Linked DNA regions of Cricetulus griseus. The protein of the gene in region 2 binds, or shares a complex with, the protein of the main gene of each other region. Links are inferred from orthologs where the notes say so. Each region holds a gene or a part of one and is shown on either strand. Other genes may lie near its edges. The genes, in order: Polr1b, Rrn3, Taf1a and Polr2k.

Evidence for each region.
Region 1: Rrn3 (region 2) and Polr1b share a complex: the UniProt entries of both Homo sapiens proteins name them as parts of the pol I pre-initiation complex. The link is inferred for Cricetulus griseus from reciprocal best matches to the Homo sapiens genes RRN3 and POLR1B.
Region 3: Rrn3 (region 2) and Taf1a share a complex: the UniProt entries of both Homo sapiens proteins name them as parts of the pol I pre-initiation complex. The link is inferred for Cricetulus griseus from reciprocal best matches to the Homo sapiens genes RRN3 and TAF1A.
Region 4: Rrn3 (region 2) and Polr2k share a complex: the UniProt entries of both Homo sapiens proteins name them as parts of the pol I pre-initiation complex. The link is inferred for Cricetulus griseus from reciprocal best matches to the Homo sapiens genes RRN3 and POLR2K.

Annotation. Positions count from the first base shown.
Region 1 is NC_048599.1:49,450,481-49,454,429, forward strand, and holds part of Polr1b (DNA-directed RNA polymerase I subunit RPA2), read right to left. Parts: intron 3,641-3,949; exon of another isoform or gene 3,347-3,640; coding exon 3,176-3,346; exon of another isoform or gene 2,461-3,175; coding exon 2,304-2,460; exon of another isoform or gene 2,269-2,303; intron 1,858-2,268; exon of another isoform or gene 1,286-1,857; intron 1-1,285. UniProt on the Homo sapiens protein: Catalytic core component of RNA polymerase I (Pol I), a DNA-dependent RNA polymerase which synthesizes ribosomal RNA precursors using the four ribonucleoside triphosphates as substrates.
Region 2 is NW_023276807.1:74,982,061-74,986,009, reverse strand, and holds part of Rrn3 (RNA polymerase I-specific transcription initiation factor RRN3), read right to left. Parts: intron 2,821-3,949; coding exon 2,690-2,820; intron 1,461-2,689; coding exon 1,276-1,460; intron 1-1,275. UniProt on the Homo sapiens protein: Required for efficient transcription initiation by RNA polymerase I (Pol I). Required for the formation of the competent pre-initiation complex (PIC).
Region 3 is NC_048598.1:11,100,744-11,105,123, forward strand, and holds the start of Taf1a (TATA box-binding protein-associated factor RNA polymerase I subunit A), read right to left. Parts: upstream 3,099-4,380; 5' UTR 2,794-3,098; exon of another isoform or gene 2,440-2,793; intron 1,566-2,439; exon of another isoform or gene 1,556-1,565; 5' UTR 1,554-1,555; coding exon 1,430-1,553; intron 1-1,429. UniProt on the Homo sapiens protein: Component of the transcription factor SL1/TIF-IB complex, which is involved in the assembly of the PIC (pre-initiation complex) during RNA polymerase I-dependent transcription.
Region 4 is NC_048603.1:15,288,046-15,292,632, forward strand, and holds the start of Polr2k (DNA-directed RNA polymerases I, II, and III subunit RPABC4), read right to left. Parts: upstream 3,111-4,587; 5' UTR 3,014-3,110; intron 1,939-3,013; 5' UTR 1,930-1,938; coding exon 1,869-1,929; intron 1,319-1,868; coding exon 1,226-1,318; intron 1-1,225. UniProt on the Homo sapiens protein: DNA-dependent RNA polymerase catalyzes the transcription of DNA into RNA using the four ribonucleoside triphosphates as substrates.

The DNA.
Region 1 (3,949 bases), on a different chromosome or scaffold from region 2:
CTATAAGATTCAGGAAGCGGGGCTGGAGAGATGGCTCAGAGGTTAAGAGCACTGGCTGCTCTTCCAGAGGTCCTGAATTCAATTCCCAGAAACCACACGGTGGCTCACTACCATCTGTAGTGAGATATGGTGCCCTCTTCTGGCCTGCAGGCAACATGCAGACAGAACACTGTACACATAACAAATAAATAAATCTTAAAAAAAAAAAAAAAAGATTCAGGAAGCAAAGGGTCTCAACTGTGTCCACATGCCCACTCGCCAACCACTCATTGCCCAAAGACTGGAGATTTGCTGAAAGTAGTCAGAAACTGAGAGGAATTTATATTTGAAACAAAGCAACCACTTTAGTCAACAATTGTATAGTTTTCAGTTTTTAAGTTATTTTAGAGATCTCTGGTTACTGTCTTGAAGAATCGAAGAACAGAGTTCAGAGCACAGGGGCTACTGGAAAGTAGGGGGCATTTCTTTTCTTTCTTTCCTGTTCTGAAGGTAGATTACAGAGGAGAGCCTTCACTCTGCACATACACTAAGTCTAAACCTTTGGTGGGCAATGAATTGCTCATGATGCATGAGACTGAGCCAAGTAGACTGAGACTAAGAACCAAGTTAAATAGCAGTCAAGACCAACATCAGCTCTTTCAGAGAGGCCTAGCTTGAAGCCCTATCACTCACAGTAGTTGACATAGTAATTACTGGAGACACAAACAGTAAACATAACCCACACCCAAGAAAACTACACTCAATGGATAGCAATCTTGGGACTATCCAGATGTTTGAACAGGCAAAAGGTAACTTTATATCACCCATTATAACATAATGAATATGTGATTATATATAATCAATATAATGACGATTATAGCAAGCTTAATATATACAGCAAAATATGTCCATTGTGATCAGTAAACAAAACCCTCAAAAACAAACAAACAAAAAACCAGAAATTGTAGTCTAAAGACTAAGACAATAATTCATTAGATGACAGCATGATGTCAGTGAACATGATCATCCATCAAAAATTAGAAACAGGAAACCAGAGTGGCCATTTGCATCTGTAACCCGAGTGCTGTTGGGAGTGTTGCTGGGGCTGGCTGGCTGGCTGGTAGCCTAGCTCCAGGCTCAATGAGTAAACCATGTCTCAAAGGAATAAAGAAAACAGTAACAGAGCAGGACACCAGCTATCTTCCTCAGGTCTCCACGTGCACACATGTGTACATAGAACACCATACACACAGACACAGACACAGAGACACAGAGACACAGACACACTCAGACACACACACACACACACACACACACACACTGTCTTAGTTACAGTTTTTATTGCTGTGAAGAGACACCATGACCATGGCAACTCTTTTTTTTTTTTTTAAGATTTATTTATTTAATGTATATATGTGCGCTCTATTTGCACATATGCCTTTACACCAGAAGAAGACATCAGATCCCACTATAGGTGGTTGTGAGCTACTATGTGGTTGCTGGAATTGAACTCACAACCTCTGGAAGAGCAGCCAATGCTCTTAACTGCTTAGCCATCCCTCCAGCCCTGCTGAAGGATACTGAATTCAAGATCAGCTCAAGGAAGGTTGTAGGGGTTAGGAGCAAATGCCGAAAAGCTTTAATTTCAAGAGCACTGGAAGTGATAACTATGTGAGTAACTGTAATGGCTTGAACCCCTCAAGAGTGAAGGCATAAGATCTCAGACAAACTCAAGTCATTTTCCTGGAAAATGTAAATGTGAAGAACGACACAAACAAGCCAAAGGGCTCTTCTGCACCAAAGGACACAAATGTGCGCACTAGCAGAACACAAGTGATCCTGGACCCAGCCTTGGATTCTCCACCTCCTCCAAATCAAGTAAGGACTAAAATATGGAGTGTGTGCTGCTCTTGCAGAGGAACTAAGTCCAGTTCCCAGCATCCATGTCCCGTGGCTAACAACTGACTATAACTCAGCTCCAGAAGGACTGAATGTCTCTAGCTTCTGCAGACACCTGCACATACATGCATGCAGTACTCACACATTTATGCGGAACCTCCTGATTTTGACAAATATCCCTCACTAAGAAAGCTCTTATGGTTGGGAATATGCACTGAAGTGTGGAGGGGGCACTGTGCCTACAATCTTCAAGTGAAAAAGGAAAGTATGAGCCAGCAGAATGTTAACAGAACAGGCGACTGGCCGGCTGGCATTCTTTATGCTGTTCTTGAAACTTCTCAAGTTTGAGATGATTTCAGCTTAACTTACACACGCTTTTTGTGTGTGCAGGTACCAACCACCACCACCACCTCCACCCACCTTACCCATCTGGCACTGGTACATGTTCCGAGGACTCTGGTTATGATCAGAGAAGGGGATGAAGTTGGCGATCACACTCAGCAGGCTGTGAGGGAAGAGCTCCTGGTGTGTGGAAATTCCAGAAAAAACCTCATCCTCAAAAATGGCAACGTTCATGAAGAGCTGGAGGAAAACAAGAGTAAGGAAGACAGAGGCATAAAATAACTGTGGCTGTCTCGCTGCTTCCCAGGGGTTAGTGCTCAAGGCCACAAAGAGTCCCTCCCCAATCATGAATGCCGGCTACTGATATGGGGAGCTGCTGTTGAGACCCAGGGTGTGTGCCTGCTAAGAGCTCCAACACTTTCCCCTTGGATATCTCATCCTCTATCTACCCTGTCCAATTGTGAAGAGCCAAAGAGGAAGACAAATATTTATTTTGGACAGGGTTTCTCTGGCTATCCCATAACTCACTCTGTAGATCAGGCTGGCCTCAAACTCAAAGATCCACCTACCTCTGCCTCCCAAGTGCTGGGATTAAAATGCATCACCACCTCCAGTTTCATTTTTTTTTTCTTTTTAATAAAATTTTTAAAGTAGGCACAAACTCCAGTTTGGCAATGGCAAAGATGTGGACGACAACTGTGATGCCTCAGTCTTCACCAGCTGGGGCAGAGCCAGGTGCCAAGGAACCACGAACACCGGGCAGGAAGGACAGGCAGTTATGTGAGCACCAAGCCTCCCTCAGGTTCCCAACAGTATGGCAAGACACTAAAACTACTTAGTCCTGGGCAATGGGGGTCAGAAAAGTGAGCTGGATGTTCTGTCAAATGCTTTTAAAAGTGAAAGCCAAGTCCCTGAAAACTGTTCTACATAAGCACACACCCCAGCGGGTACCCACCTGTTCCATAGTTCCAATGAGCTCTTCTTTGCCCAGCTCCAAGTTCTGCACAGGCCTCACCAGCCGGCAGGGAGTTGTGAAGAGGAACAACCCCGGGTATAGGCTTGGTTTTCCTGTCATGGGAACCAGGGCCACCTCCATCCAGGGAGGAATTCTCTTTTCTCTCAACACCTGTTTCAACAGAACAGAGTTTAATGAAGAACAAATGTATGTTTTACCCCACCCTCCCTGCCACCAGAGTCAGGTAGAATGGGAAAGGGAAAGCATCTAAGAAATTACATCATCCTGGTAATAAACCCAGAACCCCAAGCCACAGCTGTCCATCCCAATCTCACCCAGCCCACAAGGGAAATGGCAAAAAAGGCAAGTTGATTCTCCGATGTCTAAAATATGGATTAATGAATTTCTTTTCAAACAATCACATGAAAAGTGTCTTACATTTGAAAATTAAAAAACAAAACAGAATGGGGTTGCTTCGATGACTACATACTAAGAGTACATAATGGCAGGCACTGTGCTCACATGTGCATGCCCAAACACAAACAGGAACACATACACAATTTTTTATTTTATTTTTTTTTTAAATCATAAAACACAAAAAAAGAAACAGGGCTGGAGAAATGGCTTGGTGATTAAGAGCACTTACTGCTCTCATAGAAGCCAGGGTTCAGTTCCCAACACCCATGTCAGGTGACTTATATTTGTGGAGAACTTGACTTCCAGGGATCCAGCGCCCTCCTCTGGCCTTCACAGGCACTGCATGCATGCACAAAA
Region 2 (3,949 bases):
CACAGACATGCATGCAGGTAAAATACCCATAAACATAAAATAAGTTCTAAAAAGAAATAGATGTGCTGGACTGCAAAAGGTATTTCCTCTCTAATAAAGACTCCTAGCCTAAGGCTAGTGAGATGGCTTATCAAATAAAGGTGCTGGCCACCAAATCTGGCAACCAAGTTTGATCCCCAGGATACACATATTAGAAGAGCACTGACTCCCTCCTGCAAGTTGTCCTCTGACCTCCACAGCATGCAGCGCGCGCGCGCGCGCGTGTGTGTGTGCGTGCGTGCGTGCGTGCGTGCGTGCGTGCGTGCGTGCGTGCGTGCGTGCGTGCGTGCGTGCGTGCGTGCGTGTGTGTGTATGTACACTTATTGGGTTCCAGGCACAACCCCTGACCCAAATGTATGTGTGTGTGCGTGTGTGTGTGTGTGTGTGTGTATGTATGTATGTATGTATGTATGTATGTATGTATGTACACTTATTGGGTTCCAGGCACAACCCCTGACCCAAATATGGCCCCTTGACTTCAGAAAACTGCAGGCATGAGATAAAGCCTAAGACACTTGTTCTCAACCTGTGATTGTGACCCCATTGGGGGTTGAAGGACCCTTCCCTCTAAAAAAACCATCGAAAACACAGATATTTACATTACAATTCATAACAGCAGCAAAATTACAGTTATAAAGTAGAAACAAAAATAATTTTATGGTTGGGAATCACCACAGCATGAAGAACCGTGTTAAAGGTTGGAAGGTTGAGAACCACTGAACTATGAGGAATGTCCTTCTGGGGCAAAACAAGGCCACAAGGGCAGAGAAGCGAAGAAGGAATAACTCTAATGAGGGGATCAGAGATAGCCTTTGCTCTGACTCCTTTGCAGTGGTTTCTCTAGTAGCTGGCTAAACAATACATGAATAGCAGTGGGGGAAAATAGAAGTTGCTCGTTTTTGAAGTGAACCCAGTCTTACCCCTGTCTACGATTGCCTCCTTTGTATAGTCTTTCCCCTGTCTATGATTGCCCCCTCCTTTGCAGAGTCTTGCCCCTGTCTACAATGGCCTCCTTTGCAGAGTCTTGCCCCTGTCTACAATGGCCTCCTTTGCAGAGTCTTGCCCCTGTCTACGATGGGCTCCTTTGCAGGCCATGGTGCCACAGCTGCACTTGTGGCAGCAAACCCTCATCAAGCCCCTCACACATTTAAAAGTAAACATCAACCCAAAGCAAGCAGTACAGCACTGACAGTCCAAGGACAGTAAGAAAACCCAGCCTGAACCCACATTACTGACCTTCCTTCAAGTTTCCACTCAAAATCTGCTTGTGTCTAAAAACGAAAGTGTAGAACACAGCTTGGCAGGCTGAATAAAATGGTCCATGGAGTGCAACATCACAAAAAGCCTTTGTTCCTGAATCCTGGTTATTAAGATACATGTGCAACCAGTTAACCAAAAGATCCAGGCATGACTTTACGGTGCTGCAAAGAGAAGAAAAGTCAGTGTTACTGGATTCATCAGAAAGCTAGAGACAGAAACACACACCTGTCTTTCACTATCCATTATATAAGGCTCAACTACGACCCACAGGCACAGTGGTAAGCAATTGCTTCACAAACATGAGGTCCTGAGTTCCATCCCAGCACCAAAAACCTTACCCATCGGCAGAGAAACAGAAGGAAAAGGACAGAAGGTGGGAAGCCTTCCAATTGTTTATTGTTTTCAGTTTTTTTTTTTTGGTTTTTGTTTTTTTTTCTTTAGACAGTGTTTCTCTGTGTAGCATTGACTGTCCTGGAACTCATTCTGCAGACCAGACTGACCCTGAACTCACAGAGAGCCTCTACCTCTGCTTTCCCAGTACTGGGACTAAAGAATGCCTTCCAATTCAGTGAGGCAGAGCTTACTTGGGCAGAGCAAGAGGCCTTAGGGATGTCCCAAGGAGCGAGGCCCAGGAGCACAGGCCTGTAATTCCCCACCTTAGAAGACTGAAGGAGGTAGGAGCTGAGGCCAGCCTGGGTTCCAGAGCAAGACTCAAAAAACAAAATGGAACAAAACAAAAGACAAAAATACTTTCAGGGATGGAGCTGAGCTCCAACTCAGCCAAGACTTCCTGGCTTAGCTCCCAGCCAGACAGTGCTGTGGCTAAGGATCATGCTTCTTCCCATCTGGACTCAGAAACTGGAACCACAAGACTAAGCTGATTGGGGGATGGCTTAGCAGCATCTGTGCCAGTCTCTTGTGGAGTCCCTGAAGAAACCAGTCTCCTGAGTCTTAATGCTGGGGGTGGGACCCAGGGCTTTGCAAGTGTCGAATGTGCTTTACCACTGAGCTCCATCCCATCCTAATTTCTTTAAAAAGGGTTTTGTTTAGACCAAACAGACACAATTAATTTGGAAGGCAAATGAAAAACAACAAACCTACAAAAAAATATCAAGCAATATACAACACGGTGCTACCCATGAACAGAGACAGGCTTTCAGGTTCAAAACACAAACAGATGCCTCATGTACCTATTATCCAAATAGAGACCTGTCCTTCTCAAACCACTTCTTAGAAATAAAAGCACCTTGCATTATAGTCAACAGATTCCCCCCCTGGCTTTACAAAGACAGATAAAAAAAATAAGACCTATTTCTTTGACTTGAGACAATATTATAATCTCCCTACAGCAAAACATTAAAAAAAGCATTTGGAAAATTAGGTTACTTACATAAGAGGAATAAATTTAGCTCTTGCCAAAAAGCTCCCAATGTAATTCGCAGCAGCTTGCCTGATGATGGCGGGGTTATTTGGATCCTGCAACTTTTTCCAAAGATGTTCCAAAAATGCTTCTGCAAATCCCTGTAACAAGAGGCTGCTGGCTTGATATGTCTAATGCTGAAATTATTCTGGCTTTCAGCACCCTGAAGGCATTACCTAACAATGCAATTATACTGCTAAATAAGGAATAGAGAGGTCACAGTTCTTATTTAAAAGCAAAACCCTAGTAGACCCAGCTCTCCTATCACCCCTCATCCCTTTGTGTTAGACACTGTTACCTAGAAACACTGATAACTGGGAACCCAGTGAACCACATGGGGCTAGGACTCAGGTAGGCTATTTCCATTCTCTTTGTCACCCACTACAGTCTCTCCAGGCTCATCCCCAGCCCTGTAGCAGCCGGCTACAGCCTCTCCTCCCTCCATCTCTATTCCTCCGGGACTCCAGCCATGCCTTGGCATGCATGCACCTTTCCTTCTCCCTATGGACCTTCTCAGCACACCACCCCCTTCTAACCCATCCTCATCCCTTTGTGTCAGCCCCCACACCTAGAAATACTTTCTATCCCAAAGGCCCCCAGAGGCCATACCTGAAAGGATAGGTGAGTCACATTAAGATCTCTCCATTAAGATCTCTCAGTGACAACCTGCTTGCAGGAGCCCCTCTACCTCCAACTCTGAATCCATACACAGGGTATACCTAGCCCTTTCATCTCTGTCTCTCTTCAATTTTGTAACTTAATGTACCCTACTTCTTCGATCCCCTGATCCCACCATATCTCCAACTCCCTGTGGACCCCACACCTCTAGGTGTGAACAGGATCACCTTAGATCTTTCCTGAAGGTCCCTCAGCCTTTTCTCCTAGCCTATCTCTATTCCTTCCTTTCTGCCACCCACCCACCCACCTCCAGAAGCACTTACTACAAGGCAACCCACAGCCATCACTACCTTAAGATCCAGAGAGGACAATAGCAACCAAGGAATGGAATACCCACTCAACAAAGACCAGACCAGATATAAACACCAAGAATCTCCTCAATCAATCCCAAACCCTGGATGGCTAAACACCATTGTAAAACACAAATATTAACAGTCAAGACAATACGCCTCCACCAGAACCCAGTAGCCCTGCTAGGGTAGACCCTGAGAAATGCAACACAGCTGAAGCACAAGACAAAAACTTGAAAACAGCAATTATGAATATGTTCAA
Region 3 (4,380 bases), on a different chromosome or scaffold from region 2:
CTGCAGCCTTCAATACTCAAAGAGGTTGTGAAACCAGCAGTACTGGAATTATCTGAAAGCTAATTAGAAACAGAGAAAAGAAAGAGAGAAAGAAGGAGAGGAGAGAAAGATGGGAAGGAAAGGGATGGAGCCTCTCATGCCTCAGCTGGCTCTCTGAAGCAATCACTGCATTTAGTAAGAGCTACTAAGCTGCTTAGATCACAATTCCAGGCAACCAGCCCACAAAACTGGCACAGTATCTGTTCAAATAGCCTTTATCCACCTAAGAGAAGACTGCTCTCAGGCCAAGTTCCATCTACCTCTTTATGTTTAGAAGTACAGGACTTGAGATCAGACAGACCTGATTTGCTTCCTTATATCATTACTTAAGAGTTTAATTTCGCCACAGAGAAACCTGGGGGAGGGGGGGCGAGTTTAATTTCTTTGCAATTCAGTGTCCTCACATTTACTGAGGACTAAATTACTGGGAATATAAAACTAAATGAATTTTTCTTTTTAAATGGGAGCTAAATTCTTGGAGCCAAGAAATGCATGGAGAGTAATAAGAAAAGTGCAGGTTTAAGTGTATTTAAAGGTCTGACCCATGCAGCATTCCACCACGGCTTCTTCATATAGTCCTATAGACGTTAACCCACTAAAAGCATTGTCTGCATCTACATTAGATTAAAAATGAAGAAAGATGCCTTTTAAACCTATTACATCAATGCTATAAGGAACCATTTCCATTAAACTCAACAGAAATTTCCTTAACATTTCCTATGTATGTGCTCCTCAATGAGACCACATTTTCTTCATCTGTACGTCCCCAATATTCTGCCAATGCCAAATACAAGTGCTCAGTAAAGAGAACTATATTCATATATATAAATTTATACATGTGTAGTTCATAATATAGACTGTGTATTATTTTTTAAAAAGGGCCAGGCCATGGTGGTGCACGCCTTTAATCCCAGCACTCAGGAGGCAGAGGCAGGCAGATCTCTGTGAGTTCGAGACCAGCCTGGTCTACAAGAGCTAGTTCCAGGACAGCCTCCAAAGCCACAGAGAAACCCTGTGTTAAAAAACCAAAAGAATAAAATAAAATTTAAAAAAAAAAGCTACTTCTTCTAATTTCCTTTTTGTCTCCAGCTGTAAGAAAGAAAAGGGAAACCCCCATCTAATCTTATTACAATATTAGGCACCCTGATTCACACCTGTAACCCTAGCACCTGGAGACTAAGGCAAGAACAACCAGGAGTTCTAAACCAGCCTGAGCTACATGAAGTGAGTTCCAGGCAAGCCAGGGATAAACAGCAAGACCCTGTCTAACAACAATAACAACAACAGAAATTAAGGGGGAGGAAAAATGACCTGGCTTGGTCATTCACTTTGTAGCTGTGTTCAGTCTCGACACTTAGTTGCATTAAAGTGAAAGTGCTGTCCCACTTACCTACAGTCTCTATTCGCTCCTGAAGCCACGGGAAATGCATTCCTGGATTAGAGAACACAGAGGTTTCTCTCTTGCCATCCTCTGCCAAAGCAAGCTTTGTCAATTCTTCATCGAAATCGCTCATATCTATTCCAAACTGAGAGTATCAGTTAGCGTCAGTACACGTTAACCCACAGGCACCTGACTTGAGCTGAAAAGCAATCTTTTCTTGTAGCAAAGTCACCTGAGCAGCAGGGCCCATTGTATCTGACAGTTCTTTTCAAGGAAACACTGAATCTGTTTAAGTCAACAACAGCCTAAACTCAAGTCACATTTTTTAAAAATAGAAGTCTGGGGACTAGAGACGGCTCAGCAGTGAAGAGCACTTGCTGCTTTTCTAGAGGACCTGTGCTGGTTCCCAGCACCCATGTTCATGATCTTCTGGAACCCTAGTCCCAGGGCATACAACCACCTTCACAACAGAACATAGGCACACACATGCAGGCACACACCCACACATGTAAAATAAAAAGTTTCTAAAATCCATAAAACATAATACTGCAAAGCTCTGAACCAAGAACATACAAAAATGAGACATCCTTAATTACAAAGTAAAAAAGCTAAAGCTACATAAAGAAACTGAAGAATACATAACACAATATAGCAAGTACAGTAACAGCAGGAGCTAGTATTTACTGGGACTTAACTACATACTTAGACTATAAAATATCTAATTTAATCGCAGCAGCAACCCTATTCTCTCCCACTTAGTAATGAAAACTGTAGGACTTGCTGGGTGGTGGTGGCAGAGGAAGGAAGGAAGGAAGGAAGGAAGGAAGGAAGGAAGGAAGGAAGGAAGGAAGGCTGAAGGACTTATACAAAATACGTAACATGACCAAAAGGAGTGAAGACAGGAGTCTAGCAAATGCAGAGCACACAGACTAGCTGGTGTGACCAAAAAAATGGCTAGGAGGTGGGCAGGGGGCCATGGCAAATAAATGACTCTACAAAAGCAGCCATATGCCACTGACCTTGGATTGAACTGTCGAAAGGGTGCAGACCCCAGTTCTGAGTACCTATCCGGTATTGAAGCTTCGGGTACTGCGATTTAGAATTCCACCAAACGCCCCTCCTTTCTGCAATCCTACGGCGCCACCCTGGCTCCGGACACCTTCAGACTGGTCCAGGGTGAGTGCTCTGGCGCTGCTGGTGTGTGTGTGTGTGTGTGTGTGTGTGTTTTCCGCGACGCTGGAGACGGGCCCGGGTCTCGAGCCTGCTGACTGGCAGCAGCGTCTCCCTGCGGCGCGGGAGGCTGAGGGTGCGTGGTTAGTCACCGCGCCGCGGGGAGGGCGCAGGGCCAGCCCCGGGGTGCTGCTCCACCTCACCTGGGGGCGGCCGGCCCCGCGAGCGCGCACTAAGCCTTGTAGGAAAGCCGACTCCACCGTGGGGCGCCAAAGCCTGAAGCGACGCCTCAATTCAGTGAGGTCGGCCCCACGGACGCTGCGGACGCCTGACGCGAGCCCCGAGTCCTCAGACTGGCGGCGGCGGCGCCGCCACGGTAACCTAAACCTCCCGGCCCGCAACTGACGCTCCCAGAACCGCGGGGCGCTCACACAGCTCTCCCCGGCGCCACGCTCGCCCGATCGCACGCCGCGGGCTGTCAGGGAAAACCCTCTCCGGAAGTCCTCAGCGAGCGCTTCCTGTGAGCCTGCGCATAACCAGCCGGCCGGCGTTCGGGTAGCGCGCTGCGTAGCCCCGCCCTCCGTCGGGCGTGGCCTGGGGGGAGAGCCCAAGAGCCTCGCCAGAAGAGGCTTGACCCGGAAGTGGGTGTTAGCTTCCGCCTTCGCCTTGGTTTGGCCCTGATTACACCTTGATCTGTGCCAGCCAGAAACTGGAAGGTTCCCATCGCAAGACCGGAGTGTGGCCAGGGGGTGCATTGCCGATTCTGATTGCTGCTCTGAAAGTTATTTTCATTACAGTTTTTAGCATCTTGCTGCCTTCACAGTTGGAGCAAGAGTCCGTGTTTCGCTTATCAACGTGGAGTGTTCTGGCGATCGGCCTGGAGTCCGCTCTCAAGAGGGACATTGGCAGCCGTGTATTGATTATGGAGGTGGATAGTGGAATTGCAGTGTCGTATGAGAAGGGGGACGCTGCGAGGGAAGATGACCCTGAAGACTGGCCTGAGATGTTTGGAAAAATACTCTGTGAAGGACTGATCGGTTAATGGGCAGATTATTACACAGATGTGAACAAGCATTAATGAGTAAAAGCTAAAGGGAGGCAACCTTAAAGTCATTGGGAAAAAAACAATAGTTCATAGTTAAGGCTGCATAAATGATGCAATGGATTCCTCCTAAACTCCGAATTTACTGCTTGAAAATAAGAGTCTGAGTTCCATGGAAATTAGCCGGTCTATCATTACTCCTTGCCCTTAAGCCTGTTTTGGTTTGGTTTTGTTAGAACCCCGGAAAACCTCAGGCCTCCAGGGTCTCAGCCCAGGACTGTGGTCACCCTAATCACCAGGCAGATTCGAAAGCTTGCTGCAAACTGCACAAGGCTTTATTGTTTAACGAGCTCGGATAGCAAAGACAGCTCGAAGAGTCTGCATAGAGATCTTATAGGGCAGCAATAAGGGGAGTGTCTAGGGGTACACACAGGCTCAGGATTGGTGTGCCTCCAGGCTTGGAGGGCTTGCCCTGTGTTGATTGGCCAACTGGTTGTTATGGCCCATAGGCCCTCCCAGGGTGGTTGCCATGCTCTTCAAGCCATTGCTGTGCACTTGTCCATAAAGCACACCCAGAGCCGTAAAGCATAGCGCCACCAGCTAACTTCTGATTGGTTCCTTGCCACAGGCAGGCATCTGACTTTCTAGTGACTAGGACAAGGTCATGGCAAGCACGTGTTACTGTCATGTCTGCCGAAATGGGGAGCTGGTCCCTTCAGTTTGTTTGGGTATTTTTTTGGTGGGGGGG
Region 4 (4,587 bases), on a different chromosome or scaffold from region 2:
TTCATATAAAACGAACAAAAGACTGAACTTCATTATGGCCACTGGAGATAATCTAAAAAAATAAAATACTCAGCTTCCATTTTCATTAGTTCACTCTCTATTACACAGAAGATAACAATATAGGTAAATTTTAAAAGATAATACGAAAAAGATATTTTAAAACACTGAAACACTGATGATTTTGAGAGTCTGTGTCAGTTACACTGAAACAATTTCAGTATTTGGACTAATTTGTAGGCCTATTTTCCACTAGGTTATTAATTTCTCCTCCCATACTTTAGATTACCCATAAGCTAACAATCAAGAGTGACTACTTCTAACAAAGAATTCCTGAAAAAACTAAAAACATTTACATAAACCCAAATTGATTAATTTTTTAATTACTTAGAGCCCATAATGAATGGCACGAAAACACTAATCATGTTTACTTAAAAAAAAAAGAGCTGGTGTACAAAAGGACTTTGGGAGCCCATCCCACGTGGAGGGATGCTCTCTCAGCCTGGACACATGGGGGAGGGTCTAGGCCCTATCCCAAACGATATGACAGACTTTGGGGATACCTCATGGAGGGCCTTACCCTCCCTGGGGAGCAGAGGGGGGGATGATGTGGTGAGTTGGTGAAGGGCTAGAGAGAGGAGGGAGCAGGGATTGACAATCGAAGTAGGCTTGTTTCTAATTTGAACTAAAAAAAAAAAAGTAAAATAAAAGCTAAAATCACTTACAGGGTTTTTTAAACACACACACACACACACACACACACTTGGGTCCTTTGTACAGGTGGAGGTCGGAAAAAGGGATCAGACCCCCGAAACTGGAGTTACAGAGGATCATGAGTAATTATGTTGGTGCTAGAAACAGAACACAGGTCCTCTGGAAGAACAGCCGATGCCCTTACCTGCCTGCTGACGAGTCTCTCTAGCCCCTATTTGTTTTTTTTGACACTGAGTCTCACTTAGTAGTTCTAGCTGGCCTTGAACTCACAAAGCTCTGCCTGCCTCTTTTCTCCAAGTTTGGTGAAAAATAATTCATATTAAAATAATATACATTTACGTCCTTCAGAGCCCCCCACATTCTCAGTTAATAAACTCTTCATTAATAAAGTCACATTCAATCTGCTTAGAAAAATAAACAACCCAAAAGTTGCTACTTTTGTCAGAACTTGGTCTTTATCAACCGAGTATTAGTTATTCCTCTTTACGTTTAGAAAGCCCAGTCAGAAGGATACATCTTTTTGTCCTTTTCTTGTACATTATTCTGTATCCACATTCTCTGCATCTGATTGGATCCCTGGACTTTATTTCATTTTCCGTGTGACACTCTAGGGAATAAAACACGTTCAGTCAATGCCTGAAAGAGAAACACTACAGGGAACCAAATATAACCACAGACTTCGCCAGAGCAAGTCAAAGCCCCGAAACTAAATACACCAAGGAGGAAAGAAAAGAGCTGTCGGCAGCGTACCTTTTCCTGATGAAAAGACAAATCTTAACGAGGGACTTTTACATTAATGATGCTAAAGTGTTTCACTTGAACTCGCAGAGATCCCCCTGCCTCTGCCTCCTGAGTGCTCCGCTTTATAACTTTGAAGATCAGTACTCATATATGGAAAGTTGAGGTAAAATGTTCCTACTTAAGCAGGGCATTGGTGGCACATACCTTTAATCCCAGCACTAGGGAGGCAGAGGCAGGGGGATCTCTGTGAGTTGGAGACCAGCCTGGTGTACAGAGTGAGTTCCAGGATAGGCTCCAAAGCCACAGAAAAACCCTGTTTCAAAAAAACAAAACAAAAGCAAAAAAAAAAAAAAGCCAAACAAACCAAAAAACCAAAACAACAACAAAAAACGTTCCTACTTAAATGTTAATCTTACCTCCGCAAATATATATCATCGGCTGCTGCTTTGGGGGTTGGACGTCTTTCTGCGCGTCCATTGCTAGTGCCTGAAATCAGAGCCAAAGCTTGAATAACAAGATCATCACACAAAACCAACCAGGCTCCCTTTTCCCCAGCAGCTACGCAAGGTCCTGATTCCGGGGTGAAGAGAAAATCTCAGGTGTAGAATGTTTGCCCAGAACACAGCGGCTCGAGGATCAAACCCCAGTATTACAGAATGAGGGGGAAAAAAATCATAATTCCTTATTTGAAACCCCCCCTTCCCCACCAACTGTGGGCTGGGTCTGAAGGAGGAAACACATTCTCAACAACACAGAATCCATCTCGAAGGTCTACGACACTCTTGAAGGTGCCAGAGGGCATCACTCTTTACACTCGGGGAAACCGAGGCTAAGCACAGCTCTCTGTGTGCCCAGCGTCTCCCGACACTAAGAAGCAAAGGGGGGGGGGGCTGGAGAGATGGCTCAGAGGTTAAGAGCACCGGTTGCTCCTCCTGAGTTCAATTCCCAGCACACACATAGCAGCTCACAACTGTGTGCAACCCCAGTTCCAGGGCACCCAGCTGACATCCATGCAAAATACCCAATGCACAAAAAATAAAAATAAACTTAGAAACCCTGTCTCGAAAAACCAAACAACAAATAAACTAAAAAAAAAAAAAACCCACAAAAATCCGCTAACTCCGCCGGGGATCTTGTCATAAATCATTTTTTAAATTTATTTTATTTTATGTGCGTTGGTGTGAGGGTGTCAGGTCCCCTGGAACTGGAGTTGCAGACAGCTGTGAGCTGCCATGTGGGTGCTGGGAATTGAACCCGGGACCTCTGGAGGAGCAATCGGCGCTCTTAACCTCTGAGCCGCCCCTCCAGCCCAGTCACCGACCATTTATTTACGTTTATTTGGCTCTTTGAGAGGCTCCCCACTTGGTAGCCCAGGCTGGCCCGGAACTCACTTCATCGCCCAAGCCAACCCCAAAGCCCGGGCGTCCGTCTGCTGAAGGCGGCAGTCCCCTGCCTCCGTTTCCCGAGCGCCCAGGCGGCGTGGAGCCAGCTCTCCCGGGCACCCGGGAACTTTCTAAAACCTTCTAAAGCCAGTTTTTTTGCCCTCAGACCGATCTCTCACCTCCGCGGCTCCAAGCAGAGTCTCGGTACGCACACAAACGTTCCCCCGCGTCCTCAGTGACGGACTCACTACCGGCGCGGACCGCGCGCTTCCGGCGCTGCCTAATGACGCGCAGGAGCCCCGCCCCCGCCCCGTCCCCTCCGCCGCCGAGAGCCCGGGCTGGGCACAGGCGACGGCGGAAGCCGAAAGCAGCTCTCGCTCCGGCGGCGGTCGCGGGTTCGAGACTCGGGCTCGTCGCCATTTGCTCGTCGCCATTTGCTCGTCGCCGTTTGCACAGGGTTCTCTTTTGTTTGGCTGCCCTTCAGCGCGCGGCTCTCCCCCAGGCCCCGGAGATGTCAATTAAAAATACTTTTTTTCAGGACCGTTGGCTTAGCTCGGTGGCTCGCAGGGGTGAATCTTCAGGAAAACGGTCGCTTGAGCTGCTTCCTCCGCACACAGCCCAGCAGCCTGTTAAACGCTCGCCCTCAGCCACGCTACAAAGTCTCCCCAATCCTAGGGCGGTCAGGTGTGTCTGCCGGGCTAAGCCCCGGCTGTAGAGAAAGGGTGGTGTGGCTTCTCACTTGCTAGTGAAAGACTTAAAAATTAGCAAAGAAATATAGCCCAGATAAGGAAACTCTCCAAACTGAATGTAGGGCGGCCTAACTCGGAAACTAAGGCCACTATTAGGACTTAGGGCCTGGAATTTACCAGCCGCAAGCAATTACTCCCTTACAAGGCCATAATATAACTGGGTACCAAGAATTCCCAGATGGCCACCCTCCCCGAGGGGCTCATGAAAAAAACAGATTGCCCCACCGGCCAATGTGTCAATCATTAACAATTAAGTGTCCCTGTGAAACAAAGAGATAGGTACCATTTGCTCAAGCAAGCTAAGCATATCCTGAGGTCTGCAGGTTTTACAGCTGGTGGGTCAGGAGGCCATCTGATTCCCAGCCCTCTCCTCAAGACAAAGGGTCTCTTAGGCACCTGTGACTCTGGTCACACCCCTCCCTAAGCTTGTGGTTTTTGCCTTTAAAAAGGCCTGTGCCTGGGGGACGGGGCTGCTCTCTAGCCTGCATGCTGAGAGAGCCCCTTCGTACAAACGTCTACCTTTCATTAAAGCCTCTTGCTGTTTGCATCAAGTTTCCGACTCCTCATGATGATTGGGATGGCCGCAGTCCTGGGAAAGGATTCTGGAGGCCTGAGCTTCCAGGGGGCTTACATTAGACGTCTGAGATTTTAAGATTTCGTTGTTTCTTTGTTTTGTGTTTTTGGTTTTTTCGAGACAGGATTTCTCTGTAGCTTTGGAGTCTGTCCTGGCACTCACTCTGGAGACCAGGCTGGCCTCGAACTCACAGAGATCCGCCTGCCTCTGCCTCCTGAGTGCTGGGATTAAAGGTGTGCGCCACCACCACCCGGCTAAGATTTCGTTGTTACTTTGAGTTGTCTGTGTTAGTGCCAGCAGAGACCTGAAAAGGTCCTCGGAGCCCCTGGACTGGAGCTACAGACTATTAGAAGCCGCCCTACGTGGGTGCTGGGAACTGAACTTGGTCCTTTGCAAAAACAGCAAGTGGTCTTACATGCTGAGCTACCTC